Macaca mulatta: one gene and its partners. The protein of the gene in region 1 purifies or fractionates together with the protein of each later gene. This does not show direct contact. Links are inferred from orthologs where the notes say so. Each region holds a gene or a part of one and is shown in the gene's direction. Other genes may lie near its edges.

Region 1 (9,644 bases):
CAGAAACCCCTTAGTGAAATTAAATATGTAGGTGCATGTCTGTGAATAAACAAGTTTCAGTTAGGAGTGTACTGGGGTCTTTGCTCACCTCTGGGGAAAATCAGATTTGGTTTTCTTACTAACTTGGCAGATGCCCTTGGAATTCTCTAGGTTTGTGAAGGTTCATAGCAGCTACTTTCCTTATGCATCACTCTCTGCAACTGCTGAGTCACCTCTGGAGCTCCGAGTTACAATCCACTGAGTCCACTTCCCTGCTAGAACTAACTGGATGGAATAAAGAAATAGGAACTTTGTTCTCTTTATGACCCTGTCCTTTTAACCTCCATGTGACTAACATGCTAGGTGTAGCAGCATACTTAAATCCTTTTTCTAGATGGTTAAGACAATTTCTGAAGGAAATTGCAATGCCAGAGCGACCACAATTAAAGATAACTTGAATTTTCATCTAATGAGAAGATACTTTAAAAAATTGTAACAACTTGTATAAGGTGGTTTCTCCTATTTGGGCCTCCACATAAATTTGCTCCCAAGTGTCACCCAGGTCCCTTTGAATCTCTATGGCTGGTAAGCCTCCCCCTCCTCCTAAAAGAGATTGTCAGCTCTGAATATTTCTCCTCTGTCTATCCTCAAGGAACCTCTGGTTCCAGAATCAAAGATTCTGCAGGTGCAATTGGGGAGGGTAGAGCAAGACTTAGCAAAGCTCTTCCATTTAAATTCCCAGCCTGTGGGAGCCACCAGCCTTTGATTTATAATTAAGTTCATCTCTCAACGGCAAATACTATTTTCTTTAGCATTCACAGAACTAAAATCTACTTGTAACAATTATTTCTCCTTACTAATAAGGTTTTGGAAGTACCCCAAAACATAATGGGTCCCTGTTATTGTACATAGGGTTGTTTTATTTTTCCATGATTTTGCCGACCTGTGATGTTTGGTGGCATTACGGAAGATCAATATGAGTGTTTAAAGATGCTCTCTTTGACTCTATTTCAGTTCAGATTCTCTCTATGCCTGGAGGATAGCAGGAGAGTTGGGAGCAGGTATGGGCTTCTAATTTCTTCCGTTGCAGAATGAATCGAAAGAAGCAGCGGGGAAGAAGGAGATGTAAAAATACAGCATAATTCTTATTGGACAGTGCTGGAAGTTTCTGTGGGGAGTTTGAGATAGAAAAGTCGGGAGGTAGTAGTCTGAAATGGAGGGGCCCATCAGTTCAGGGCAGGATTTCAGAGAGATACTGGGTGTCAAACATTGACTTTGCACTTTCCCCCGCAACCTCTTTCCCTCTCTCCACTTTGTCCTTAATGGAAGAAGGTCAATTATATTATGTTTATAGATAAATTATTTGGGGAAAGATTCACTAAATTTACAACATCTGTTGAGTGCCTACCTTGGTGCTAGGGACTATTCTAAGTGTATCAAATGCTTTGACTCATTTACTCCTCCCGACCCCCATAAAGCAGGTACTATTACGGTCGTGCTTATTTTTATAGATGAGAAAACTGTGGCATCGAGGAGGGAAGCTGACCTGTCCTAATGAGCAGAAGAGCTGGGATTGGAAGCCACATAGTTTAACTCCAGAACCACTCACCCCCAAACATCATGCAACAGCACCTCCCCATCCAGGATATGGTGTATTTTCCCACTTATTTGAATCTTTGCCATTTTCAGTAGAATTTTTATAATTTAAAAAATGTGGGCCAGGTGCAGTGGCTCATGCCTGTAATCCCAGCACTTTGGGAGGCTGAGGTGGGCAGATCATGAGGTCAAGAGATCGAGACCATCCTGGCCAACATGGTGAAACCCCATCTCTACTAAAAATACAAAAATTAGCTGGGTGTGGTGGCATGTGCTTGTAGTCCCAGCTACTCGGGAGACTGAGGCAGGAGAATCACTTGAACCTGGGAGGCGGATGTTGTAGTGAGCCAAGATCACGCCACTGCACGCCAGCCTGGGGACAGAGTGACACTCAGTCTCAAAAAAATAAAAAACAAAATATGGCTCTGCACAATTTTTGTTACAGTTATTTTGGGATTTTCAAATAGTATTTTTGTTGCATATATGATAGAATTCTTAAAATTACAATTTCTGATTATTACGACGTTTAAAGTTAGTTGAATTCATAATGATGAATAAAGCCACATGTGAGTTAAGTCTCATCCCTTGCACTGTTTAAGAGTGGAGAGTGGGATGTGAGCAGGAGTGCCTGATAAGGAGGCAGTGGGAGCTGATGCTAAAGAGCCTTGGGTAATGGTAAGGAGCTTGCATTATTCTTGGAATCAAACCTTCCAACACAAGGAAGGGAAGTGAGATCATTAGGTTTGTTTTTTAAAAACATCTTTCTTGTAGCATTTTACTGAGTGATTTGGGCTTGGGAAAGGTCAGTGGCAGGGCACCTGTTAGGTCATTATTGCAGTATTTCAGGTGAGAGATAAAAAGTCTGAGCCCAGGCAATAGCAGTAAGAAAAATGGGAGTGGTAAGGATGGGGGAGGGGAGCAGTAAACCGAGGGGAGGGTAAGGAACAGGTCTCAGGTAAAAGCAACAGTCCTGGGTGACCAGTTAAACATTGGGGGAGAGGAAAAGAAAGGAGATGAAGTTGCCGCCAGAAAGAGTGGCCTCAGGAGAAACAGATTGTACGGGGATGGGGATGGGGTGGGATGGGCAGAATATATCAGGGAAAGAGTATCCTTGGTATTGGTTTGGTACAGGTGAGTGGGCCTGAATGACAGTCACGGAAATCCCAAAACATGATATAAAAACTAATGAAATTTGAAAGGTAATAAACATGAAAGAAATGAAAAATTTGGATTTATGGGGGATTTATTTGGCTTCTATTGGGGAATGATTAAGACTGAAGCTAACTACTTGGAAGTTATTGGCATAAAAATGGTATGTGAGGCCAAAGGAAAGGGTGAGGTGAGCCCAAGTAGAGAGGCCAACTTTAAACAACAACAGAAAAACAAAGAAATAGGACACAGAGTTAAATTTGAATGTCAGTTATATGATGAATAATTGTTTAGTGTATTCCATGTTTGGACGTGTTTAAGACATACTCGTCCTAAAAATTATGTATTATTTATCTGAAATTCAAATTTAACTGGGCACCATGTATTTAATCTGGCAACCATAACAGGGACAGGACACAGAAATATCGGCAAGGACCAGGCAGGCCTTTCAGATGGTGAGGTGATGTGTGAGACACAGGCCGCTGGCGGAGGCTGGGTGACCCAGAACACCTGTCGCTCATTCTCAGGAGCAGCTGCTACCTACTTCCCACTGATTGGGTTTGCAGAGATGGCCTCGAGGGTGTCTGATATTCTGATATTGCAAAACAGAACAAAAATATGTATTTTAATGTGTATTTAAAATGTATATATATTAAAATATTTTTAATATTGATATTAAAAGTGGTCAATTGGGCTGAGTGCAGTGGCTCATGACTGTAATTCCAGCACTTTGGGAAACTGAGGTGGGAGGATGTCTTGAAGCTAGGAGTTTGAGACAAGCCTGGGCAACATAGCGAGTCCCCATCTCTACAAAAATAAATAAATAAATAAATAAATAAGTCAGGTGTAGTGACTCATGCCTATAATCCCAGCTACTTAGGAGGCCGAGGCAAGAGGATTGCTTGAGCCCAGGAGTTTGAGGCTGCAGTTAACTACGATAGCACCACTCCACTCCAGCTTGGGTGACAGAGTGAGACTCTGTCTCTATTTAAATAAATACGTAAATAAATAAGCTGGGCAAACAATGAAAATGAAAACATTGTGAAATACAAAGCAGTTCTGTGGGTTCCACTGTTTGCAGCCTCTGATCTAATTTCTAAAGAGGGTGTAGCAGGTTTTTTAACCTGTAAATTATGGTGATTGGCAGGTCAGGGTAAATGGTAGTTGTGTGTGGGGAAGCGATGATGGCAACAGGTGTTTTCCTCCTGCAAAAACGAAAATGTGGGAGTGACTTCTCTGGCCATGGCTCCATGGTCTCTCCCCTCAGAGCCAATTTCAGTAAAATTTTTATAGTTTAAAAAATATGGTTCTGAACAATTTTTGTTAGAGTTATTTTGGTATTTTTAAATAGTTTTTTGGTCGTATACATGGTAGAATTCTTAACATTATACAATTGTAATGTATAAAAAAGGATACAATTATAATTCATAAAATTATAGCCCCACTGGCCATTCTCCTGTAGCTGGGAGCAGTTCACGCCAACAGGGCTCTACCCCAATGCTGACCTGCTCTACAGGATCCCAGGAAGGTGAGCATAGCCTACCAACCTGTTTGGGTAGTACAGCGATAGCAACTGAGGCTTCCAAGGCTTTCGTCAGAAGATTGTGGGCGGAAACTTCCAGGGGTTTGCTCTGAGCTTCTTGAGGCTTCTCAGCTTCAGCTGCAAAGTGAGTGGGTGTTTCTTTGAGAAGCAGAATCAGAGAGAGACATAGAGAAAGAGAAAGACAGAGGTGTTTCCCTTAGCTATGGAAACTCTATAAGAGAGATCCAGCTTGCCTCCTCTTGAGCAGTCAGCAACAGGAGTCCTGTCCTTGACACCTCAGCCTCTACAGGATTGAGAAGTAAAACCGTTTGCTGGGGCTGGCCTGACTCACCGGCTGCCATGCAGCAGCCCTTCAATTACCCATATCCCCAGATCTACTGGGTGGACAGCAGTGCCAGCTCTCCCTGGGCCCCTCCAGGCACAGTTCTTCCCTGTCCAACCTCTGTGCCCAGAAGGCCTGGTCAAAGGAGGCCACCACCACCGCCGCCGCCGCCGCCACTACCACCTCCACCGCCACCACCACTGCCTCCACTACCGCTGCCACCCTTGAAGAAGAGGGGAAACCACAGCACAGGCCTTTGTCTCCTTGTGATGTTTTTCATGGTTCTGGTTGCCTTGGTAGGATTGGGACTGGGGATGTTTCAGCTCTTCCACTTACAGAAAGAGCTGGCAGAACTCCGAGAGGTAAGCCTGCTGGCAGACTGCTGTGCCCTGGAGGCACCAGGCATAAGGGGGTGGAGGGCCCACTGCCTGGCTTGCAAAGTGCTTTTCAATCCTTTTTTTTTTTTCTTAGAAATGGGTTGTTCTAGTTATTCTATTCTATAGGCAGAGAAATGGAGGCTCATAGGAGTGAAGGGAATATTTTTTATTTTGTAAAGAATCAGAGCCCAACAGTTTTTCTTTCCTCAGTTGTCAACTCAGTCTGTTGAACCACTTACTGCCTCATACCTAGTGATTTAAGGAGTAAAAAACAAACAAAACTTTTAAGTTTTGCTTGGAAGTAAATTTGTTCAGATGACCAAACTAAATCTTGAAAATACTTAAAATACTGGTACGATTTCAAATCACAAAACTGAGGGACAGTGAAGCAAAATTGCTTGACCAAAGCCTGAGTCAGCAAAAGTTCTGAGGTATTTGGATTCTCTTTCCAGGGCTTGGTTTATTTGACGATTCTGTCTCTTTTGCTTAAATAATTTTATTTTTATTATGCATCTTTTTTCTTTCTCTTTTACTAGTCTACCAGCCAGAAGCATACAGCATCATCTTTGGAGAAGCAAATAGGTGAGTCCTTTTTCACATGTACATTGAGTTCCTAAAGATGATCCTCAGCACTGAAATATGTTAATGGAATGCCTTATATTCTGTCCTACACTTTGGCTTATGTATACTATGAGAGGAATCCTGGCTAATTCGGAATCTCTGGTCAGTATGATTCCTTGAGCTGCTTTATAAATGTGAAGTGAATTGAATTGCTCACAATCAATATAGCTGAGCACGGCACACAATTCAAAATCACTTCCGCTTGACTTTGGAAAGAGACACACATATACAACCGTGGACTTTTGCCCCCTGAGCAGTGGTTCCAGGCCTGTCCCCTTCCACAGACACCCTGGTCCTGGCACACATGCCAGTGGCTATGACTTCTGGGAAGAGAAGGCGAAGTGAAGGCAGAGACAGATGTTTCTGAGAAACGTCCTCTCCTCTTTTAAAGCCTCTAAAGAGATTACAGTGAAACTTTATTTACAAAATGTTTTATAGGACGTAAGCTTTTAAAATGTGGCTAATCAATTCCGTACATTAGAATGGTTTTTCTTGAAGTCACTGAGAAGCTGAAGGGAAGACTTCAGCCATCATTCAAAGGATGTTCAGCTTCAGAGGCAGTCATGAGGTACCCTTGATCACAAAGGAAAATCCTTTGTATGGGAGCTAGGGCAAGAAGACGATATGTTGGAACACTGATCTCGTGAAATTTCAGGGCATAGTTTTGCAAGCTCTGTACAGATGGATTTTACAATGTGCTTCACTAGCCTAAGATTCATTGAAATTTTAGATTTAGATTTACAATGAGATTCACTGAAGGTTTAGAGTTGGAAGGAAGCTTAGAATATCCAGTCCAGCCATTTCATTTTTTTGGAAGAGAAACAAAATGCCAGACGGATTAGGTGAATATGCCCAAGACCCCTAGTATGGAACTGGGGCTAGAAGGAACACAGGCTCTTGATGCCTTGTCACCTACAGGGCTTTCCGGTACTGGACTGGTGCCTCATGAAGTAGGGAAACTCCTGTCTCTCTGTAGTGAGCATGGAGTGAGAAATAGAGGAAAAGCAGGATACCTCTGCAAAGACTATAGATAGATCGCATCCTTAGAAACTCAGAATAAAGAAGAAGGCAGCACTGGCCATCTATTAAGTGAAGTAAGTTTCAGTTTCTCTGGATGTGGCTACTGCAGGCAACCCAGTCGCCTGTCTACTGTCCTAGACTGTTAAGTTCTTATAGGAGCCACTGTTGGGAAGCTCTGGCCCCTGAGTCTGTGTCCTAATCCTTAAATGTTAGAAAGTCCATATGTACACAAGCAGAGTGGAAATATTTGCTAGAAAAATAAAGCCTCTGGAGGATGTCTCAAATAAGATCATTTTGAAAACCTGTGGAATGTGCCTGGTCTGATAGGTACCTAAGCATTCATCTTTTACCTCCTCTCTGGAGTCAATTTAGTGATTAAAAATCAAATGACCAGACGAGTCATGTCCATCTACCCCAGTAAGCAATTATCTTCTCTAGATCAACCCAGATGAACCAGAAATTGTTAAATTATCACAAGGAAATCAAATCAGTAACTTTACTAATAAGAAAAGAGATGCAAACTAAAAATAGGGAACACCAATTTTCATCAAATTAGTAAAGTTAACAAAAACCCAGACTGACAAAGATTTGAAAGAAAAGTGCTGTTTAAACATTAGTTTCAGCCAGTATACATGTAAATTGCTATAACTTTTTCTGAAGAGCACTTTAGAAATACATATCAAAAGCTTGAAACTAATAGTTTATGTTGTAATCCTATCACTAAGAATTTCTCTTAAGAAAATAATCAGAGATGTGCCTGAAGATTTATATATAAGGATGTTCATTACTCCCTTATGAGCCTATTTATAATAAACAATCCAGAAGAAACTTGAATGCCTCATACTAGATTAGTTATATACATTATGGTGTATTGAAACAAGCACATAATAAGCAGCAACTAAAAATGATGTATCAGAAGGACATTTAATGCCTTGGGGATTGTGCAGTGTGTATTGTTAGATAAAAAGACAAGTTACAAAAGGATATATTTCGTTTCATACTGACTATGTAACCATGTATGCACGTTTTTATATTCTTAGGAACTAGAAGGTTCTACACACTGACATACTAACAGTGATTTTCTCTGGGAGATACTACTATAGATTATTTATACTTTCTAACTTGTTCCTTTTTACATTTTCCATTTTTTTCCAGTTAGCTAATTAAATCTTTTATTCATTCACATGCGTGAGGCTAGATGTTGGGTGTTGGACGCTGATCGAGGATGAGCCAGCCCAGGGGACCTGTCCTTATAGAGCTTTTAGCATGGTGAAGAAGCTAAACAAAAGCAAGCAAACAGACCATACAATTCCAAAGTTGTACTAAGTATAAGCTGAGAATCCTTTTTAAGGAGGTGTTTATGCTGACACCTGGGGGGTCAGAAGCCTGATGAGCGAAGGGCTGTGTGCATGTGCTGTGGAGTGGGGTGGGGCTGGGGGAGAGCATTTCAACACTGGGAACGGCACATGCAAAAACCCTGGGGCAGGAAGCACTCATCACCAGTGTCTAAGGTATCTCTGCAGTTTATTTATTCCAGCATATGTACAGCAGATATTCTTAGTGAGCATGTTCTGTAAAAATAATGTTGTACTAGGCTCTGTGAGGGATAAAAAGATATGCAACATGTGGTTCTCGGTTCTGTTTCCTGCCGGTGCATGGCTGAATGCCAGATGAGTCGCGCGGGTGGTTTGCGGTGTAGGAATGCAGAAGAGACTCAGTTTTGCCTTTCCTGTTCACTAACACCTCCTTCATGGTGGGTTGTCTTGGGTGACCAGAGAGATCATGATCGCTCAGGTAATGTTCTCTGTGAATTGGGCCATTCTCACACCATACGTGAGTTTTACAGGCTAATCACGAACCTGACGTATTCAAGCATCTCGTGTGAATATTTATTGAGGTCTCAGTTAGCTGAATGCGTTAGCTAAGTGGCAGCTGTCTATCTTGTCTGAAATAGTTGAAGTCAGAGAAATAGTGTCTGTTTTGAGAACTACTGTCTATTCTTCCATTTAATTTATCTGACATTTGCTAGTAACATGCCCTGTGTTAGGAACTGGGCTTCTCTGGTGAATTCAACATATCGTAAGGAACTTGTCATTATTTGAGCGGAATAAGATAATTTATGTAGTTACCCCAGAGAAGAGGAGTCAGAAATGACAAGAGAGGGGAAGACAGAATGATCCTAGATTTCAAAAGAGGGGAAGATCATATTTGATCAAAAAAGGTTTGAGAGGGTTTCCCAAAGAAAGAGGTATAGTCCTTATGGGATGTTTAGGAATTTGACACAGAAATCTGTTTGAAAGAACATTATGGGCAAAAGGCATGGCATGAACAAAGGCACAGAGGAAGGGAAGTGGGGGTACGTGTAGGCCACAGAACTCCCGTTGTGTGGCAGTGCTCAGTGGGAGTAAGGAGATAAGGCTGGACAGATGGGCTGGGCTTGTGTGATGGGGAGACTTGTATACAACTGCATCTTCAGGAAGGAGCCATTAAAGGTGTTTGAGGCCTCAGTGATATGAGGTAATTGTCTGAGGACTTAAGATACTTAATTTGGGGAAGATTGTAAAATGTCCCTGGGGGAAGATCTGGTGACACGCAGATAGATTAGTGGTCTTCTTCAGTCTCTTTCCTGTAAGTCTTAGGGACAAGAGAATCAGAGTGGACAGAGCCCTGGAATTGGAGTCAGGAGACCAGGGTGTGGTCCCATCTCTGATGCTGACTAGTTGGATTAGTCACCCAACTTCTAAGCTCATGTTGCAATTGATAAGGGGTGGGACAATACATACCTCAAAGGGTTGTGGTGAGTTCTAAATGCAATAACTGACATGACAGCTCATTATGAATAAACGTTTATATTAATTATATTTTATTGTAACATTATAATTTATGCATGTGTCAATCTTAATTTGGTTTATTTTTTACCTCTTTGTTTCTGAAATATAGACCACGGTGAATCCCGCAGTTCAGACTTACATGATTAGTATATGTTAGACTGTTGCCATTTATGGTTTTAAAATCTTTTTTTTTTAAATGATGGGAT
Region 2 (9,540 bases), on another chromosome or scaffold:
TACCTCCTGTGATATGATTAAATAAAAAAAGCTGGAGTACAAAGCCTAAACAGAGTGGCTCTGTTGCTCTGGCTACATGTCTTTTTCTTTTGAAAGTGCAATCTAGTAATAACCAAAAGCAGTCTGCAAATGCAAATCCAATTGCTTAACTAATTGTGTTCTCACCCCTGGAGTAATGGAAGCTCATGCTATAGAGGAAAATCTGAACTTAGCATGACCCAGGGTTCTGGGTTCTCAAGGCAGGCCTGCATAGAGCATCAGCTCTGAGGAAGCTCGCTCAAAGGAAGGAGGTGGACAGAAGAGAGATGTGCATGGGTGATCAAGTGGGAACAGAAGACAAACGCCATGGCTGGGTGCAGTGGCTCACGCCTGTAATTCCAGCACTTTGGGAGGCTGAGGCAGGCGGATCACTTGGGATAAGGAGTTTGAGACCAGCCTGGCCAGTATAGAGCGAAACTCCATCTCTGCTAAAAATACAAAAAAAAAAAAAAAAAAAATAGCCAGGCATGCTGGCAGGTGCCCGTAATCCCAGCTACTGGGGAGGGTGAGGCAGGAGAATCATTTGAACTCGGGAGGCAGAGGCTGCAGTGAGCCAAGATCGGGCCACTGCACTCCAGCCTGGGTGACAGAGCAAGACCCACTCTCTCTTTCTATATATAAATATATTCCATGAAAGTAGGTCTCCTCTATAACAACATTCATGAAGTAATGTTGATTTTGACTGACGTATATAAAAATAAAACTCCTAAGTTTGGCAGTATTTACTGGAGATATACTACCCGATTCATTACTAAAAATGTGATAGAGTTTAGTTATGTACGAGATCCCTGCAGTGTGGCTTATTGTGGAAAGGCATGTTTATCTCTCTTTTTTTTTTTTTTTTTTTGTGAGACAGAGTCTTGCCCACACTGGAGTGCAGTGGCTCAATCTCGGCTCATTGCAACCTCTGCCTCCCAGGTTCAAGTGATTCTCCTGCCTCAGCCTCCTGAGTAGCTGGGACTACAGGCGCGCCACCATGCCCAGCTAATTCTGTATTTTTAGTAGAGAAGGGGTTTCACCATGTTGGCCAGAATGGTCTTGATCTCTTGACCCCGTGACCCACCCAACTCAGCCTTCCAAAATGCTGGGATTACAGGCGTGAGCCATAGCGCCCAGCCACGTTTATCTCTTTTTATGTACTTTTTTGTTTGTTTTTGATAGTCTTGCTCTTTTTAAAACAACAACAAACCTTCTAGAAATGATGTCTCACTATGTTGCTCAGGCTGGTGTTGAACACCTAGGCTCAAGCAATCTTTCCATCTCAGCCCTCCACCATTACTTCTAAAAAATAAAACCAGTGTTACGGAATTGTTCAGGTGGGAAAAGCTTGAAGTCTCTGGTCTTCTTGCTTTCATGGTGCCGGGTGCCCAGGATGACTATTTGCATAGAATTTGCCAGATGAGCGTGTGGAAAGGCGTGTCTTCACAGGTGTGCCCCTAACTTTGTGCCTTCCTATCAAGGGAGGCATGGTTGAAGGGCTGCAGAGAGAGCTGTACCCAGGCTTCACATTTAAAAGAATATGGAAAACTCATTACTTATGACATTGACTGAGTTCAAATCCTGGTTTTTCCACATACTAGTGTGTACTCTTAGCCAAGTTATTTCTTCCATTGTTTATTAAAACATAACTTCTGTTTTTAAAGGAAGTCATACATACACATGGTCAAAAACTCTGACAACAGGATTTGGCGAAACTTTCTCAGAAGTTTTCTAGGCATGTATAACACATTTCCTTTTTTTTTTTTTTTAACATAAATGTACCATACATCATGTTCTTTTATCTTTCTTAACACCTCTTAAAATATTATTTTCTTACGGGCTTTGTAGTATTTTGTTTGAATGGATGTATCTTATTTACTGAAAGAGTCCTGTTAACAAACACATAGGTTGTTTTCTGGTTGGAGTTAGGACCGAACAATCTTTGATGAACATCTTTGATCACTTGTACAAGTTTGACAGGATAAACTCCTAGGAGGGCTGCTGGGTCCAAGGCTGTGGTCATTTTCGATTTGAGTAAGTATTACCAAAAGCGCAAGTTATTTAAGTGAGCCCTGATTCGCTCTTCTTTGTAAACAGTGGACAATAATGAGCTTCTCAAACGTTTCTTATAAGGATTAAATGAGATGGGGATGTAAAAGCCCAGTATATAGCAAGCAGGCTGTCAATGAATATTGGCCTCCATCTTTTTTTATGGAGAAAGACAACTATTTATGCATATTATGACGACTATAGCTTAACCATGAGCTCAACAAACACAAAAATTCACAGAAAATTCTGCGATACCGTATCTATTTTAAACCACATTATTGAATGTAACTAGTGAAACCTCAGGTCAAATAGAATGTATTTAAGGAGACACAAACTTGACATTAACTCTAAATACCAGAGTATTGAAGATTTGATAGTTGTCTCTTCTTACAAATATATCCCTCATAATAAAAAAGCACTCCACTAATATGCCAATTATGATACATCTTCCAGTTGTGTTTTGTCCTTGAGCGAAAAATCTTGCTGCTCAATTCAAGTCATTCGTTTATTCATAACACCCATATATATATCTCCAACTCTGGAGAGAAACACTGACAGAAAGATGGAAAATTTTAGAGCCCTCATTTCCACTTCAGAGAGCCTGTTGTCCCCTAAACCTCTTGGGCCCTCGGGCATTTTTAAACTTATCAAGATTCCAGAATGAGGTTAATGGGACGTCACAAAACGAACCCCCCACCGTCCCGTCCCAGGGGCTCCAAGCCAGGACCCCAGCCTGAGGGAGCCTCCGGGCAGGAGAAAGAGGCCCAGGAAGCCATTGCTCCGTTCCTTCCCGGCTGTTTACGTGGCACTCAAAGTACTCGGCCAAGGGCACGGCGACCCCGCAACACCCTCGGCGTGGGGCAAAGACAGCGGGGTTGCGGGGCTCCTGTCTGCCGGGAGCGTCGAGAGTTCCTGCCCCCCCGCCCGCCTCATGCACGGAAAGCCCCGAGCCACGGCGTGCGGCGCTGGCCGAGCGTGAACCGGAGTCGGGTTCGGCTCCCCCGAGCGGCTGTGCGGGCCGCGGAGCGCTTCCTGTGGGGCGGCCACGCAGGGTGCGGGCCATGGCCCGGGGCGCCTGTCCGGATCCCGCCGCCGCGCGGGACGCAGCCCCCGTCCTCGACCCAGGGCGCCCGGCGGCGGCGGCAGCGACTGCCCGGGGCGGCGGCGCGGCGCGGCGCAGCGCGGGGGCGGCCAGGAGGCGAGGAGGCCGGGCCGCGGCCGAGGGCCCAGGGCGCGCTTCCGCCGGGCGCCGCGCGCGCCGCGGTAAAAGGGAGGCTCGGCCGGCAGGGGCGGGGGCCGCGCAGCCGGGGACTTTCAGGAACTGCAGGAGCGGGCGGCGCGGGAGTAGCCGAGCGCCCAGCGGCTGGGCCTGAGCGTCGAGACTCGGGGCCGAGGCGGAGGAGCGGCCGCCGCGCCGGGGCCCAGCCGGAGCCGCCGCCCTCGCCCTTGCCTTCGTCCGCGCGGCTCAGAATCACCATCCGCGGCGCGGGAGACAAGCCGGCCGTCCCGGGCCGGGGGACCCGCCCGCCATGGCCACCAAGGTGAGGGGCGCGCAGCGCAGGCCCGGCCGGTCGCTCAGGCCCGCGGCGGCGCGGGGACGGTCGGGGCTGGGGCCGCGGGGAGGGTTGGGGCCGGGGGCGGCCGAGGGGCCACTCTGCGTCCTCGGTGGGGTCCCCGGGCGGGTCCGCGGCCCAGCCAGTCCCTTCTGGGCATGGGTGCGGCGGACCGTGCAGACGGCCGGGATCGCGCCGGGGGAGGGCGTCGGGTCTGGGCGCGGGTTGGGACCCCGGGTGCAGCGACGTTTGGGAAGTTTGCACCTGAGCTTGGGCTGCGGCGGGCTCGCCGGGAGGGGCCGCGAGAGCGGGACGGAAACTTCCCGCAGCCCGGGGAGGCCCCCGAGGCGACAGGCTCTCTGTGGCGTCCGGTGTCCCCGCGGCGTCTGGCGTCCCCGCCGCCCCCACGTCCCCTCCCGCTGCCGCCCAGGGGACCCTCGGCCCCGTGGGGCGGGTGGGGGTCGAGACCTCAGCAGAGAGGACGCTGCGCTTCCCGTCCCGGCCTGCGGGAGCTCGCGGCCGGGGAGAGACAGAGGCTGGGACACCCCGCGCCCCTCTGCCTTCTCTGCTGTTATTTTTTTCTTTTGTTTTGCTACCTGCTCAGTGTGAATGGTATTGCCGGCATGAATAAAATATCAAGAGGGAAATGACTGTGCTTTCGATTACGTGTTTGCCTAAAAAAGGCCCAGGCCCGAATTACGTGGTGGAACTTTGACTCCTGCTTGGTAATTGGCTAGGAGCGGTGGTTTGCTTGTTTTGCATTATTGTTTATGAAATTAGCAGTCACTCTTTGCTACCTGAATCTTCAAAAGCCACCCTCCCCCACTCCTTTTCCTTGGGCGTTTTCAGTAGTTACTTGGTGTAAAATAGTCACTGGGGAGTCATGGTCGCGGAAGGAGGACCTGGGGGAGGAGGCTCTGTACCTGAACCATTAACTGTTCTGTGATACGCTGTGAGGAGTAGGTTTACTTTTGCACTTAGTTTTTGTAGTGTCACTTTATTAGCATCAGCACCCCTTTCCCTATTTTTTTTTTTTTTTTTTGAGATCTCTGACTACTTTTGGGTTGCTAGAAACGTTATTTTTTATATTTCGATAGCTATTTGCTTTTTTTGGTGGAGTGTTAAGGTAGGAAATGGTAAGAAATGTGAAATCTGTTTAAAAGATCAGCGTTGCTTGACTTCGGTCTGCTAGATGTCCTGTGGTAAATTTTGTGCTCTGAATCCATCTAGGTGCAGCGTTTATAGAGAAGTGGGGATTCTCCTCCAGGGAACCTGTTGCTGCTGTTACTGAAATAATTACCTTCTTGTTAATATATTATTGCCTGTGCTGTGCTTTGGTTTTATTAATGTGATAGAACTTGCCACCTTTTGAACTTATTAATTTTGTGTTGACCTTTTTAAAAATAAAACTTAGGCCAAGGATTTCTAAGGAAATTTGATTTTGAGGTTTGTTGCCAGACACTCCAGAAATTACCAGTTACACATCCTAGTACACGCTCATCTTGCAACCTTAACAGCGGTTTATAGGCTGGGCGCGGCGGCTCACTCCCACCTGTAATTCCAGCACTTTGGGAGGCCGCGGTGGGCGGTTCACCTGAGGTCGGAGCTCCATACAGCCTGGCCAATATGGTGAAACTCCGTCTCTACTAAAAATACAAAAATTAGCTGGGCGTGGTGGCGCGCGCCTGTAGCCCCAGCTGCTCCGGGAGGCCGAGGCAGGAGAATCGCTTGAACCCGGGAGGCGGAGGTTGCAGTGAGCCAAGATGGCGTCGCTGCACTCCGGCCTGGGCTACAGAGCGAGGAGACTCCGTTTGAAAAAAAAAAAAAAAACCAAGGCGGTGTATGACATAGAGATCTGTCCAGTGGTGGTCTGTGTGTTTTTACACTCTGGTCTACTGAGGCATGTTACCTGTACTGTCCTTTAAGTGGAATGCAGTTTAGCAACTAGTGCAGGTATACGTAGTGAAATTTTTATTTCATAGTTAAGCCTGAACTTAATTTTTTTTTTCAAAAAATTGAAAAGTGGTTCTTGTATATTAATCTTGAATTGCATGTGTCTTTGCTTAAACACGAGCCTTAAAACATGCATAAGCACTTCCTACTTCGTTATCTACACCACTCCGAAGGCAAATTCCAGTAATTCTGTTAGTTTCTTTCGCTGTCTAATCACTGTTCCACATGGTGCTCATTTCCATGTCTACATTGTGACAGACCATTTCCATTTTAAGAAAAAGAAGAGCAATGAAGCAGTTGTTAGAAGAAGACCCTTCCTTAGTTTTCTGACATCCTGGTGATACTTGGGTCAAACCAAAGTCTCATTTTTTAATTGTCCCCAGAGAGACAAGTTGCTACTTTCCTCACTTGCCCCATATACACACCCCTTCCCCACACCTGAGTAGTTCTGTTTTTTTTCTTCGTCTTCTTCAAGGGGTGGGGAGAATGTGCTTAGTAGTAATGACTAATTTTTAATAAATGGCTCCAGTGGCACTCAGGCTGTTGCTGTAAGTATTAAGTGATGAAAAGTAAATTCAGGATCTGGATATTTTAGGGGATGTTCATTTCCCTTTGAATTTACCAGAAACTTGGCTATAGTATCTTCAGATACAATTTTCTTGTTTGTTCTTAAGTATTTTCTTAAGGATGTGGTTATCACTGAACTATTGGCATTTTAAAAAACTGCACTAGTATATTTTACAATAGAAAAGGAAATTATCATTTAGAAGAAGTAGTTTAGTTGAACAGTCCTTCACTGCTAAGGAAAGTTAATCAGGGCCAGGTGCGGTGGCTCACACCTGTAATCCCAGCACTTTGGGAAACCGAGGCAGGCGGATCACGAGGTCAGGAGGTCGAGACAATCCTGGCTAACACAGTGAAACTCCGTCTCTACTAAAAGTACAAAAAAAAAAAAAAAATAGCTGGGCGTGGTGGCGGTCACCTGTAGTTCTAGCTACTCGGGAGGCTGGGGCAGGAGAATGGTGTGAACCCGGGAGGCAGAGCTTGCAGTGAGCCAAGATCGCGCCACTGCACTCTAGCCTGGGTGACAGAGTGAGACTCTGTCTCCAAAAAAAAAAAAAAAAAAAAAAAGAAAGTTAATCAGTAACTGCACATTTTAAAGGGATTATCTGTTTTCTATTTCTAATCCTTACTCAGTAGAATGCTGCATTCAGTTTAAGTGTATGCACTCACTCAGTGCAATCAAGTCTTGTTTTACAAATATTAATACAAAACCTGCAGAGCATTTTAGTCTTGATCTTTATTGGAAGCCTCCAAAGGTTATATTTTGACCTAGCCAAAATATAACCTGTTTATATTATACGTTATATTGATAAATATTATATATACGATATACAATATATAGAATAAATACAAAATATACAATAAATATATTGTCAGTCATCATGTTTTATTTAAAAGATCAAGTCCTAGGAAAGAAATGAATTTTTTTTCAATGTCTGTCAAAGGGGACATGAAGAAAATTGTTAGTGGAGGTTAATCCATATCTATATAATTTAGCTGTAATTTCCATGTCAAAGTTAACCTTCAGTCACTAATTTGGATCCTTTTGTGCTTACATAGTCACCTTTAGACTAATTATAACAAGATTCTAGGAGTTCTTGTTGCTTTTTTTTTTTTTTTTTAACTCCTCAGTTCCAATACTTAGTTATACACATGTTACATAGCTTGTCTGGTTAAATTAAGTGGGTATGGAATGTTAAAAATAATGGTAGGGAATAAATGAATTGCTGTTTATTCCGTGTATAGGTTAGTGAGAACAATCTAGAAGGCACACTTTGTGGCATCTCCAGAGCAGAAACCTCTTTATTTGAAGACTAGAATAGAAATATCTTTCTAACGGGTCTTAAGGATTAAAGTTGATTTTTATGGTTTTTTAAATGTTTGGAAAATGCTAACCATTTAAGTTTGTATAGCAGTAGTATTTTCTGTGTGTCTTAAGTGGAGTGTGCAGTATTTGTACAGTCAAAGAAAAGTTCTGTGACGGTAGAAAGATGAACAAGTCTCATTAAAGAAGGAATATATTAGAAATCATAAAAATGTTGCAGTTTTCTACTGTGCCTTGTTTTTGTATTGACCATCTAAAAATTAAATTATAGTTTTACTTTAATTGCTTACTTAAAACTTTGTAACTTTGCAGTACTGCTGTTTCTTTTCTGGAATGCTGTTCTCCCTTGTCCTTCCCTAGGTACTTTGTTTTTAGATGTTAAGTTATTTTATTTATTTATTTATTTATTTTTTTGAGACGGAGTCTCGCTCTGTCGCCCAGGCTGGAGTGCAGTGGCGCAATCTCGGCTCACTGCAAGCTCCGCCTCCCGGGTTCACGCCATTCTCCTGCCTCAGCCTCCCGAGTAGCTGGGACTACAGGCGCCCGCCACTGCGCCCGGCTAATTTTTTTCTATTTTTTAGTAGAGACGGGGTTTCACCAGGTCGTGATCTCCTGACCTTGTGATCCGCCCACCTCGGCCTCCCAAAGTGCTGGGATTACAGGCGTGAGCCACCGCGCCCAGCCTAGATGTTAAGTTATTATTATTATTATTATTATCATTATTATTATTATTATTATTATGAAGTCTCCCTTTGCCATCCAGACTGGAGTGCAGTGGCACTAACACGGCTCACTGCAGTCTCGACTTCTCTGGCTCAAGTGATCCTTCCACCTCAGTCTCCCAAGTAGCTGGGACAACAGGTGTGCGCCACCATGCCCAGCTACTTTTTGTATTTTTTGTAGAGATGGGGTTTCACCATGTATCCTGAGCTGAGGTGATCCTTCCTCCTCAGCCTTGCAAAGTATTGGGATTACAGGTGTGAGACACTGTGCCCGGTCACATATTAGGTCTTAATGTGTCTAAGCATCACTTCCCTGGGGAAGCCTTTCCTGATGTCCCCGCCCCTGTTTCAGGGTCACATTACACACCCGACTGCCATTTTATATTTGTTTCTATAATTGATGGCTGTCTCCATTGAATGCTGTCAGCCTCAAGAAGCTGAGACTGTGTGTGTGCTCACTTTCGTATCTTCAATGACCAGTTTAAAGAGCAAAAATATTCTAGTGAGATAAGTGACTCGATTATTGAAGTAGAAAATATTAATCCCTAACTGTAAGCTTTTGTTCTTTTAATTATGTGTTTTTGTGTGTTTGTTAAAAGTGTATACAGGTACAACACAAAATTTACATCTGCACCTTAGGTATTGGCAATAATATTTTTTAAAACATAATCAATTTTACTAATGATTACATGAGAAATTGCCTCATGTTTTAAGGCACTTGGAACAAGCTTCATATTTCTGAGACTTTGAAGAGTTGTCTTTAACCTATGGGTTTTCAGAGGCGTGTTTAATTTCCAAATGTATTGGGTTTTTCTCTTTCTTGTTGGTGATTTCTAACTTGATTGCATTGTGATCAGGGAGCCTGATTAAAATCAGTACTGTACCTGGAAATTTGTTGAGGCTAACTTTATACCCAGCATATAGTCAGCTTTTATGTTTCACCTGTGGACAAAAAGAGTATATATATTATTGATGTGTGTGTCTATTCTGTATGCTGTATGTCCATTAGACTTATTGTGCTGTTCATATCTATATCCTTACTAATTGTGTTTCGCTAATTGATCTGTTGTATTTAACTGATCCTCTGTCTACTTGATGGAGATATTAAAATGGTGAATTTAAAAATTTTCTCTACATTTAGAATTAGTATTATTTTCTAGGTGAACTGAAGTTTTTATCATTATGAAGTGAACCTCTTTATCTCTGGTAATGCATTTTTTCTTAAAGACTATATTTCTAATGTTAATGTGATTAACATTCACCAGCTTTTGGTAAATATTTCCCAAATATATAAAAGCCAATAGCTGAATTTTACCTTTTTATCCAGTCTGATCTTGGTGCCTGCCTGTACAGCATT
Region 3 (9,856 bases), on another chromosome or scaffold:
GCAATAGCTGGTGGGGAAAGTGGAGTAAAAAAAAAATTTGAGATGGAGTCTTGTTCTGTCGCTAGGCTGCAGTGCAGTGGCGGGTGCAATCTCGGCTCACTGCAACCTTGGCCTCCCGGGTTCAAGCGATTCTCCTGCCTCAGCCTCCTGAGTAGCTGGGACTACAGGCACACGCCACCACGCCCAGCTAATTTTTGTATTTTTAGTAGAGACGGGGTTTCACCATGTTGCCCAGGATGGTCTCAAACTCCTGAGCTCAAGTGATCCACCTGCCTTGGCCTCCCAAAGTGTTGGGATTACAGGTGTGAGCCACTGCACCCGGCCCTGATGCTATTGTTAAACTCAGTTTAGAGAAAGGCTATGTGGACAGAAGATAGATCACAGGGAAGAGGGGTCCTAAAAGCATGTGGGGAAAACGTATATTCAGTCTTAGAGATGCTAGGAGGAACTGTGTCTTTAGAATCAAGGCTGCCCCATGACAGGAAACAAGGTTTTAAGGTTACTTGACTAAGAGACTCGTCATACCTTTTCCCCTCTTGGAGGTTCCGGACTCACTGAGCTAACTTTCTGGTAACTGGGCTTCCAAAGGGGTAGCCCAAACTGCCTTGATCTATTGATGCAGAAATTCAGTTCTGCTTGACAGTTTTATTTCGCTGTGCAAATTAATACCTAGCCTTCTGGGGTTTGTACACAGGCCTTTATTCTGGTCAAATGCCAGACCTGCAAAGCTAGTCGGATGCACTCACTCAACCAGTGAAACTGGGTTTTGGGGCCAGAGGTCTGGGAACCATGTCCCTCAAAACAGCCAAAGGTATCCATCTTTAGCAGAACTACCTTGTACCAGTTAATCTGCAATAAGTGACTAGAGAGAGAATGAAGGGAAGATCTAGCTGGACAGGGTAGACAAGACTCCAGGGTACAGCCAGGAAAGGGGATCCTCCTGAAGCCTTTGCCTCATCTTAGGCACCTCTTCCTTCAGGAAGGTTTCCTTGATCCTTGCTCCACCCAGGCTGGAGTAGGTATCCTCATGTGCACTTTTCATGGCACTGACTAGTCACACTGGGCAGGGAGCATTTGTCTACTTGTCACAACACATCTGAGCTTTTGGAAAATAAGGATAATGTCTTAATTGTCTTTGTAGCTCAGGGGCCTGGTGCAGAGTAGATACTCAGTTAATGTTTCTTGAGTGCATGACTTGGCTGAATGAATGACTGAGAATGGATTGATTAAAGACAAGAGAGGATGGACTGTAAGCCCCCCAGGATAGGAACCCCGACTGACTTGTGGTGTACTCCCCAGTGCCCAGCACAGTGCCTAGCAGATTCAGTGCCCAAAGTGTTCCCGATATGCTGACCGAGGATCAGATCCCACTTGCCTCAAGACTCTCTACCTGACCACCTCTCTCCTTGCTGCCCCTGGCTAGTACAGAACATCCAGTCCCGCTGCCGCACTAAGCAACACGGAACCGGGTGGCACCTAGACTTGTTCCCTGTCGCTGCAGATGTAGGGTAGTGTCTTTCCCTCCTTCCAAGCTAGTCGCCCAGGGCAGGGTCGCCCTATCTGGCTAGGGTGCTGCACCCTCAGCTGTCGGTATCTTAGGTCAGACGCCCGGAACGCGCAGGCCGTTTCTACCCCTCCGGAAAACAATCTCCGAGCTGCGCCACGACCCCGTCCCTGCGGAGCAGGAGTGGGGAATGGGAAGGTGGGAAGGCGAGCCCGCGACTCTGCTCCCCAACCCCAGCTGGCACGGCTTTTCACGCACCTCTCCCCGCCCGGCCCGATTTCCCCATCCTGGCTCTGGCGCGGTGCTCCTTGCAGCCCCACGCTTTGCAAACTTTGGGAGTTTTACTCCATTTGCGTCACGGAAAAGGCAGGAGGATGACGGAGTCCAGGAAGCGAGGCAGCAGTGGCTGGCAAGCTCCACCGCCGGGCGCTCCAACCACGGGGGCGTGAGGTGTCTCCCGGCGAGGGCAGACAGACGGAGGGAGAGCAGAGGAGGTGGCGGTCCCAGAGACCAGCCCCGGAGGCTCTCGGGCTCCCTCGTTCCCGGGTCGTTTCCTCCCTCTTGCCCGGGACTGAGCGAGGGCACTGGCCAGATGGGAAGCCGCGCGGAGGAGTAGGCGGGGGCTCGGCTGCAGCGCCCCGGGCCCGCGGGAGGGCGGAGCTGGCCGTCCCTGCCCCGCCGGGACGCACGGAAGTGCAGCGGAGTTTGCCCGATTCTCCAGCCTGCTTCCCCCTCCCTCCTCCCTCTCCCCACCCCTCACCTCCCCTTTGGCGATCCCCTCCTTCCTCGGGACGCCACCTCCCGGAATCGCGTTTTTGTTTTGGAGCTGCCTTCTCGCTGGCGGCGCGGAGGGTCTGCGAGCGCAGGGGAAGGCAGGCTGGGGGCGCAGCCCGCCCCCCACTGGCCGGGCCCCGCAGGGCGGAGCGGAGGACGGACGGACAGACGGCCAGCCGCGCCATCTGCTCGCCGGAGCTCACTCTCCAAACTCCAAACTGTTGAGTGTGTGCGTGCACGCGAGGGTGGGGGTCGGGGGTCGTAAGTCCCGGGTGAGGAACTGGTTTCTGCTGGGGTTACCTTTGGACGGGGTTCCTGGGATTCAGAGCAGGGTCAGCGTCAGTCTCAGAAACTGCTGAGGAATTAGGCAAACAAAAGAGACCACTCAGCGACTGGCCAGAAGTCGCCCGACCGCCTCGTCGCGCCCCCTCCTTCCTCCGGGGTTGGGACTGGCCACTTCTGGGGCGGGGAGAGGGCGCCCGAGCCGGCGGGGGCTCCGGCTGCGCAGCCGGGGTCGAAGAGTTGGCGGCCTGTTGTGTAAGCCTCAGTCCTTGTTTTCCCGGCCTGGCTCGTTGTGAAGCCGGACACATCCACCCTTGGACTCGATTCAGGAGGCTGCTGCTTTTCTCCTTGCCCCTCTTGGATTTTCCGGATATTTGAAAACCCAGTGGCCCAGGAGCAAGAGGAGGAGGAAGGAGGAAGGGGCAGATCTGCAGAGGAATGTGAGAGCCTCCCAAAGCGAGAGTGGCCAAAAGAATCTGGGAGCCAGAGGGACAGCCGAGCCCTGCCTGGGTTTCTGGAATGGTGGTTTCCGAGTGAGTCTCTTCTATTTTAGAACGTTGTTCCAGTGGAAAGTGTCGAATTTTTCCCCTCCAGGGCAGATTTCTCCAGGTCACTTGACTTTTCTTCTGGGAGTAGGAGTTAGGAGAGACTCCCCTCTAATCCCCCAGGGGCTGCTAAGGGAGGAGGCTATGGACATGAGCCCTCCCTGCTCACAAGCATATGCCCGGAGACCTGATAGGGCAGTTTCTGGGCCGTGGACATTGCTTTGAAGAGCAGGAGATTGGACAGCATCTGTGGGTGCTGAGACCCCACCTTAGGACCTGAGAGATTGAACTGTGTAAGCGCCATTCAGCTGCGAGTGCATTCTTGGACTTCCTTGTGAGCATCCCGGGTCTGGACAGGACCCTCTCCTTCCCATCTGTCTGTACCACCCAGCCCAACCATGGCACTGAAAGGCCGAGCCCTCTATGACTTTCACAGTGAGAACAAGGAGGAAATCAGCATCCAGCAGGATGAGGACCTGGTCATCTTCAGCGAGATCTCACTGGATGGCTGGCTGCAGGGCCAGAACAGCCGTGGGGAGACAGGGCTCTTTCCTGCCTCTTACGTGGAGATCGTCCGTTCTGGCATCAGCACCAACCATGCTGACTACTCCAGCAGCCCTGCAGGCTCTCCGGGGGCCCACGTGAGCTTGTACAATAGCCCCAGTGTGGCCAACCCAGCTAGGAGTGGTGGGGGCAGTGGCTTCCTCTCAAACCAGGGTAGCTTCGAGGAGGATGATGATGATGATTGGGATGACTGGGACGATGGATGCACAGTGGTGGAGGAGCCACGGGCTGGTGGGCTGGGCACCAATGGGCACCCTCCCCTCAACCTCTCCTACCCTGGTGCCTACCCCAGCCAGCACATGGCCTTCCGGCCCAAGCCACCACTGGAGCGGCAGGACAGCCTGGCATCTGCCAAGCGAGGCAGTGTGGTGGGCCGTAACCTCAACCGTTTCTCATGCTTTGTGCGTTCTGGAGTGGAGGCCTTCATCCTAGGTGATGTGCCCATGATGGCCAAGATCGCTGAGACATACTCCATTGAAATGGGCCCTCGTGGCCCCCAGTGGAAGGCCAACCCCCACCCATTTGCCTGCTCTGTGGAGGACCCCACAAAACAGACCAAGTTCAAGGGCATCAAAAGCTACATCTCCTACAAGCTCACACCCACCCATGCTGCCTCACCTGTCTACCGGCGCTACAAACACTTTGACTGGCTCTATAACCGCCTGCTACACAAGTTCACTGTCATCTCAGTGCCCCACCTGCCTGAGAAGCAGGCCACAGGCCGCTTCGAGGAGGACTTCATTGAAAAGCGGAAGCGGAGACTCATCCTCTGGATGGACCACATGACCAGCCACCCTGTGCTCTCCCAGTACGAAGGCTTCCAGCATTTCCTTAGCTGCCTAGATGACAAGCAGTGGAAGATGGGCAAACGCCGGGCGGAGAAGGATGAGATGGTGGGTGCCAGCTTCCTGCTCACCTTCCAGATCCCCACCGAGCACCAGGACCTGCAGGACGTGGAAGATCGCGTGGACACTTTCAAGGCCTTCAGTAAGAAGATGGACGACAGTGTCCTGCAGCTCAGCACCGTGGCGTCAGAGCTGGTGCGTAAACACGTGGGGGGCTTCCGCAAGGAATTCCAGAAGCTGGGCAGTGCCTTCCAGGCCATCAGTCATTCCTTCCAGATGGACCCCCCTTTTTGCTCTGAGGCCCTCAACAGTGCCATTTCTCACACGGGCCGTACCTATGAAGCCATCGGGGAGATGTTTGCTGAGCAGCCCAAGAATGACCTCTTCCAGATGCTGGACACACTGTCTCTCTACCAGGGCCTGCTCTCTAACTTCCCTGACATCATCCACCTACAGAAAGGTAAGACCCAGTGCAGGCAGGAAACCCATCCTGAGTCTGACTCTCTGCTGGGCCCTGGGGAGATGGGGATGGCCTGGATAGAATGGAGCAACTTATCTTTATTTCTCTGTCTCAATCATTCATTTAACAAATGTGTTGGACTGGGCATGGTGGCTCATGCTTGTAATCTCAGCACTTTGGGAGGTTGAAGTAGGAAGATCAATCACTTGGACCCAGGAGGTTGAGACTACAGTGAGCCCGATTGTGCCACTTCACTCCAGCCTGGGTGACAGAGTGAGACCCTGTCTCTAAAACAAACAAACAAACAAACAAACATGTTGAGTATCAACTCTGTATCTGTGCAAATGTGCTTCTAGGTACAGGAATATTGTTGTGCACAGGCCTGGTCTCTGTCCTCATGGAGCTTGATATTTACCTTCTTGTCAATTCATTCATTTTCTCTGGATCTCATTTACCCATCATGCATGGTGTCATGCTGGGTTCTGAGAACACACAGATGACCGGGCCCCAGGCCTTGCCCTGGAGGAGCCGGTAGGCCCTTGGGAGACAGAGACCCAACCCAGATAACAAGAGCTCAGAGTGGGGGCCTGTCTTCTGCCCCTTGCAAGTTCACCTCCCCACCTTTGCAGCTTTGCAAGTTACTCTCACCACTGTGTATTCTCTCTATGAGCGTCTTGTCTGTGTGCAGGAAGATCCCTGTCCCCATTTTGCGGATGAAGGAGTTAGTGTCCACAGAAGAGTGGTTGCACAGCCTGTGGCCCGGCTGGGACTGTCCTTTCCTCCTGCTACCTCCCCAAGGACACGTCCATGTTGGCCGCTTCCCAAGCCTAGCCGTGTTTTCAGTTGTCATGACCCCCTCCGTGGGGGAGGGACAGGATGGGCCTCTGCCTGTTACTGCTGGGGCTGTCAAGGAACTGCCGGGGAAATGACTCATCCTGGGTCACACAGGGGCACCCTGGCTGGACCAGGCTGCGGAATCAGGGGTCCAGGGCACTGCCCACATGGCCTATCCAACTCCTGCTTCCCAAGCCTGGCTTCTCTTCTTGCCTGAGGAGACAGCCAGTGACTGCCCCAGCAGGTACCTGAGTCCTGGGGACAGCTAGGAGGGCAGATGTCAGGAGAGAGGTGTGATCCTCCCTGGGGCTGCTGGGTAACTCGTATGCAGGGCGTGGAGCTGGCTCCCTGGCCCTTGGGCCCTGAGGTCAGGCCTGGCTTGGTGGGGAGTTTGACTCTGGGTGGGGCCAGGAGGCAGACCTCTGGACTGAGCCTGGGGAACAGGAAACATGTCACCCACCACCACCAGGGAGGACCTGGGGTAAGCTGGCCTTACTTTCCTTTACCAAGAGGTTGACTTCTATAACTTCTCTAGCTCCCAGCCTCCTTTCTCCCCTCACTATATCCTCTTCCTCTTCCTGTTTTTTTTTCTTTTTTCTCATCTCTACCTTTCTTCTTCCTCCTCTGAACTCCACGAAACACAAACCTGAGTGCTAGTCTTGGCTCTGCCCCTAGATTGCTGTGCATCCCTGGGGAGTGCCTTTGTCTCTCTGGGTCTTAGTTTCCTGGTCTGTAAAACAAGGGAAGGTCAGGTCTTCGAGGGAGTGGGTGGGAAGGGACTCTTGGGGAGGGTCTGGTTCAGAAGCAGAATGACACCTTAGCTCTGACTCTGAGCTCTGGGGCAGGAATAGGGCAGGGGAGATGGCCAGGCCTGCTGGGGGCCCACTGGGGCAGGTGTCTCCCTGAGCAGAAGTGGGAAGGCTGGTTCAACCAGCTCCTTAGATGGCTTGTTCCTGCGCAGGCAGCAGGAGGGGGAGCGCAATGATTAAACAGATGCTCCCATGTAGTGGCTGGGGACCCCCACCCAGAACAGAGGTGAGGGCATTAGGGCAGCCCCACACCCAGGAAGGACACCAGGGCCTCCCAGGCTGAGGGGGAAGCCGGATTGGCCTTTCTGACCCTGGGCAGAGAGACCGAACTGAGAGAGGCCATTTCTGAGTTTCGACTTGAGGTGTTTCTAAGAGTCAGGGGCCACTGTCCTCTGTGCTGATGCATTTGACCTGAAGCAGAGGCCAGCCCACCTCCTTCCCTTCCCGGGATGAACCCTACCAATGGGCTAAGCCCCCTCTGGCTTACTCTAAGTTCTGGGCTCCGCACTGCTCCTCCCAGGCCTGTGGTGTGGGGCAAGTTAGGGAGCGGGTACTGAGACAGAACTGGACAGGCTTTGGGGACCACAGCCCAATGGGGGTGATAAGGAGGGGGTCCTATGCTGGCCCTAGGGGTGGAGCCCTTCTCACAGAAAGGAGAAGAACAGTTGGGTCCTGGGCCCCAAGGATTCTGTTCAGCTTGTCTGGACATCTGAATGGGTGGTGAGTGTGTGGGAGGAAGGACAGTGGAGGCCTAGGTGGGAGTCAGGAGACCAGGATTTGGACAAACTTTGCATCTGACATGACTTTGGGAGAGATTTCTCCCCTCAGTCTCTAGGTGAACAAAATGGGACCTGAGGGTCTTCATTTCCTTAGGAGGGCTCCATGTCATGTGAAACTTACATTAAACAAATTTGTATGCTTTTCAAAAATAAAAATAAAATGAAATAAAATGGGACATAAACCCTGGCTGGAGCTGAAAGGAGCCTGGTCTTCCCACGGGCCTAGTCCCTGTAGCCCAATCCAGGGGTCTCCTAAGAGAAGGGTAACCATAGGCAGTTTGGGGCATAAAAGGGGGCCCTAGCAATAGTGATCCCAGGACAACAAGGGGAAAGTGTCCAGGACTGTCCGGGGCAAGCCGGGACCTATGGCCCCCCAACTTAAGAGCCAGCAAGAGCAGGGCTGGTCCTAAGGCTCATGACAGGTCAGGAGGGCAATGTGGTCACCTCCGTTTTACAGACGAGGTGCAGCAATGCAGATGAGCCTCAGAGCAGGAGCTGGCGCCCAATGTGTCTGACTCCGCAGCCCAGGATTTCTACTGTGTTTCTACTGTGCCCTCCAGACAGGGGAGGGGATCCCCAGGGATGGAGAGCTGAGCCAGAAGGGGAAAGAGGAGGGAGGAAGGCTTGGGTGCTCCTTCACTGGTCCCATGGGCTAGAGATAGGCCCAGGACCACAGAGCATCCATAGAGGGGCCACAGGGACAGCGTGGTCAAAGCAAAGTGGCCATTGTAGGGACAAGTTCTTGCTTTGGGGACAGATGGGTTCAGCCTCTGGGTTCTAAGCCATTATCTAGCCCTCCCTCTACCTCACCCCCCTAGGCGTAAACAAAGAGAATAATACTCTGCTGTGAGCTACCACCTGAAGGTACTTGCTGTGAGCTCATGCATAGAAAAGCAGTTTGCACTGGGCTCCGTGGCTCATGCCTGTAATCTCAGCACTCTGGGAGGCCAAAGTGGGCGGATCACAGGAGTTCGAGACCAGCCTGGCTAACATAGTGAAACCCTGTCTCTACTAAAAATATAAAAAAATAGCCAGGCATGGTGGCGGGCACCTGTAATCCCAGCTACTTGGGAGGCTGAGGCAGGAGAATCACTTGAACCTGGGAAGCGGAGGTTGCAGTGAGCCGAGATCAAGCCACTGAACTCTAGCATGGGCAACAGAACAAGACTCCATCTCAAAAAAAAAAAAAAAAAAAAAGAAAAAGAAAGAAAAGAAAAGTAGTTTTCAAGCTATAGCATGTAGCATCTGAAGCTCCTATTCTATCTCAGATACGATCCTTTCTACTATGTACATATTAGTTCAGTTAAGCCTCAACTATACTATAGGGCGGGTACTATTATTATCCCATTTTACAGATGTGGAAACTCTAAAGCACTATACCGTATGAGAGGTTGTCAACAACATCACATCTAGGGCAACCTGTCCCACTGGGCAGTGGGGAGACCTGGAGCCCAGGCAAGAGCAGTGGCATGCTGGAGAGGACACAGCTAGGACTAAGACTCAGACCTCCTGCTCCCTCCTGCCCCCAACCTGGGGTGGATGTTAGCTATCTCCAAGAGGTAGCGGCAAGATGGATTGAGGTGGGAGCTTAGGGAATATCCCTGGGACTCTGCAGCTGGTGGGCTCCAGCCCTCCTTTCTGCATTTCTGGGACCCAGCCTGTAAGAGGAGTGCTGAGGCAGGAGGTCCTCCTGGGTCCTCAGCTCTCAGGTTAAGTCTTAAGTAGAATGTAGGGGGGATGCTGGACAGGCCGGAGCCATGACTCCCAGCCTGTGGGGTGGGGTGCATTAGCATTAGCTGGTCCTGGCCCCAGAGCTGAGTCACAGGGTGGAGGGGTAACGGAGAGTAGGGTGGGGCCTCTGTTTCCCCCCGACCTCTGTGGCCTTTGCTCCCCATCCCTGGCCTCCTGCCTGTCTTTGATACCTAACCATTGCAATGGGTTCATTCTTACTCTTTGGGCTCCTCATTAGCAAAAGAGACCTTTCCTTCCTTCAAGGCCATGGGCAGGAAAAGTCTACAGATGCACTTCCACTGTGCCAACTTTCTCAGGCAGGTGGAATCCAGGCTAGTTCAGTATCTCCCGTTTAGCTGGGTTCCTTCTGTGGAAGTTTAACTCCAGTTTCTTCACCCTGCTGTTTTCTACCTTTCTTGTTACGGTTCTTCCTACTCCTTGGGACCTTCTTGAATCCCTGTGTCCAATGTCTGGGGGCCCCACACACATGCCCGAAGGACCTAGCATGTACTCCCTGCAACAGAAGTGGTGTCCAACCCCCAGCTGTGGAGGACCAGGCAGGACAGAGGCTGGGAGTTCTGGGCAAGTTCCTGTCCCTCAGGGCCTTGGCCTCCTCTGTACAGTAGTAGGGTGGAGGTGGAATTGAGGGTCGGACACCTGACCTTTTGGGCCTTTCCAGCTCTGATGTCTCTTTCTGGGTCCTATCCTGGGCCTTGGGGTGATCCCCCT

The links.
Region 2: the proteins of FASLG (region 1) and SNX9 purify together in Homo sapiens (co-immunoprecipitation; 3 studies listed by BioGRID and IntAct, with this or other methods). This does not show direct contact. The link is inferred for Macaca mulatta from reciprocal best matches to the Homo sapiens genes FASLG and SNX9.
Region 3: the proteins of FASLG (region 1) and SNX33 purify together in Homo sapiens (co-immunoprecipitation; 3 studies listed by BioGRID and IntAct, counting the BioPlex papers as one, with this or other methods). This does not show direct contact. The link is inferred for Macaca mulatta from reciprocal best matches to the Homo sapiens genes FASLG and SNX33.

The regions. Positions count from the first base shown.
Region 1 is NC_133406.1:30,152,871-30,162,514, forward strand, and holds the start of FASLG (tumor necrosis factor ligand superfamily member 6), read left to right. Parts: upstream 1-4,564; 5' UTR 4,565-4,606; coding exon 4,607-4,951; intron 4,952-5,502; coding exon 5,503-5,548; intron 5,549-9,644. UniProt on the Homo sapiens protein: Cytokine that binds to TNFRSF6/FAS, a receptor that transduces the apoptotic signal into cells. Involved in cytotoxic T-cell-mediated apoptosis, natural killer cell-mediated apoptosis and in T-cell development.
Region 2 is NC_133409.1:76,687,419-76,696,958, forward strand, and holds the start of SNX9 (sorting nexin-9), read left to right. Parts: upstream 1-3,384; 5' UTR 3,385-3,596; coding exon 3,597-3,608; intron 3,609-9,540. UniProt on the Homo sapiens protein: Involved in endocytosis and intracellular vesicle trafficking, both during interphase and at the end of mitosis. Required for efficient progress through mitosis and cytokinesis. Required for normal formation of the cleavage furrow at the end of mitosis.
Region 3 is NC_133412.1:53,688,138-53,697,993, forward strand, and holds the start of SNX33 (sorting nexin-33), read left to right. Parts: upstream 1-3,413; 5' UTR 3,414-3,503; coding exon 3,504-4,974; intron 4,975-9,856. UniProt on the Homo sapiens protein: Plays a role in the reorganization of the cytoskeleton, endocytosis and cellular vesicle trafficking via its interactions with membranes, WASL, DNM1 and DNM2. Acts both during interphase and at the end of mitotic cell divisions.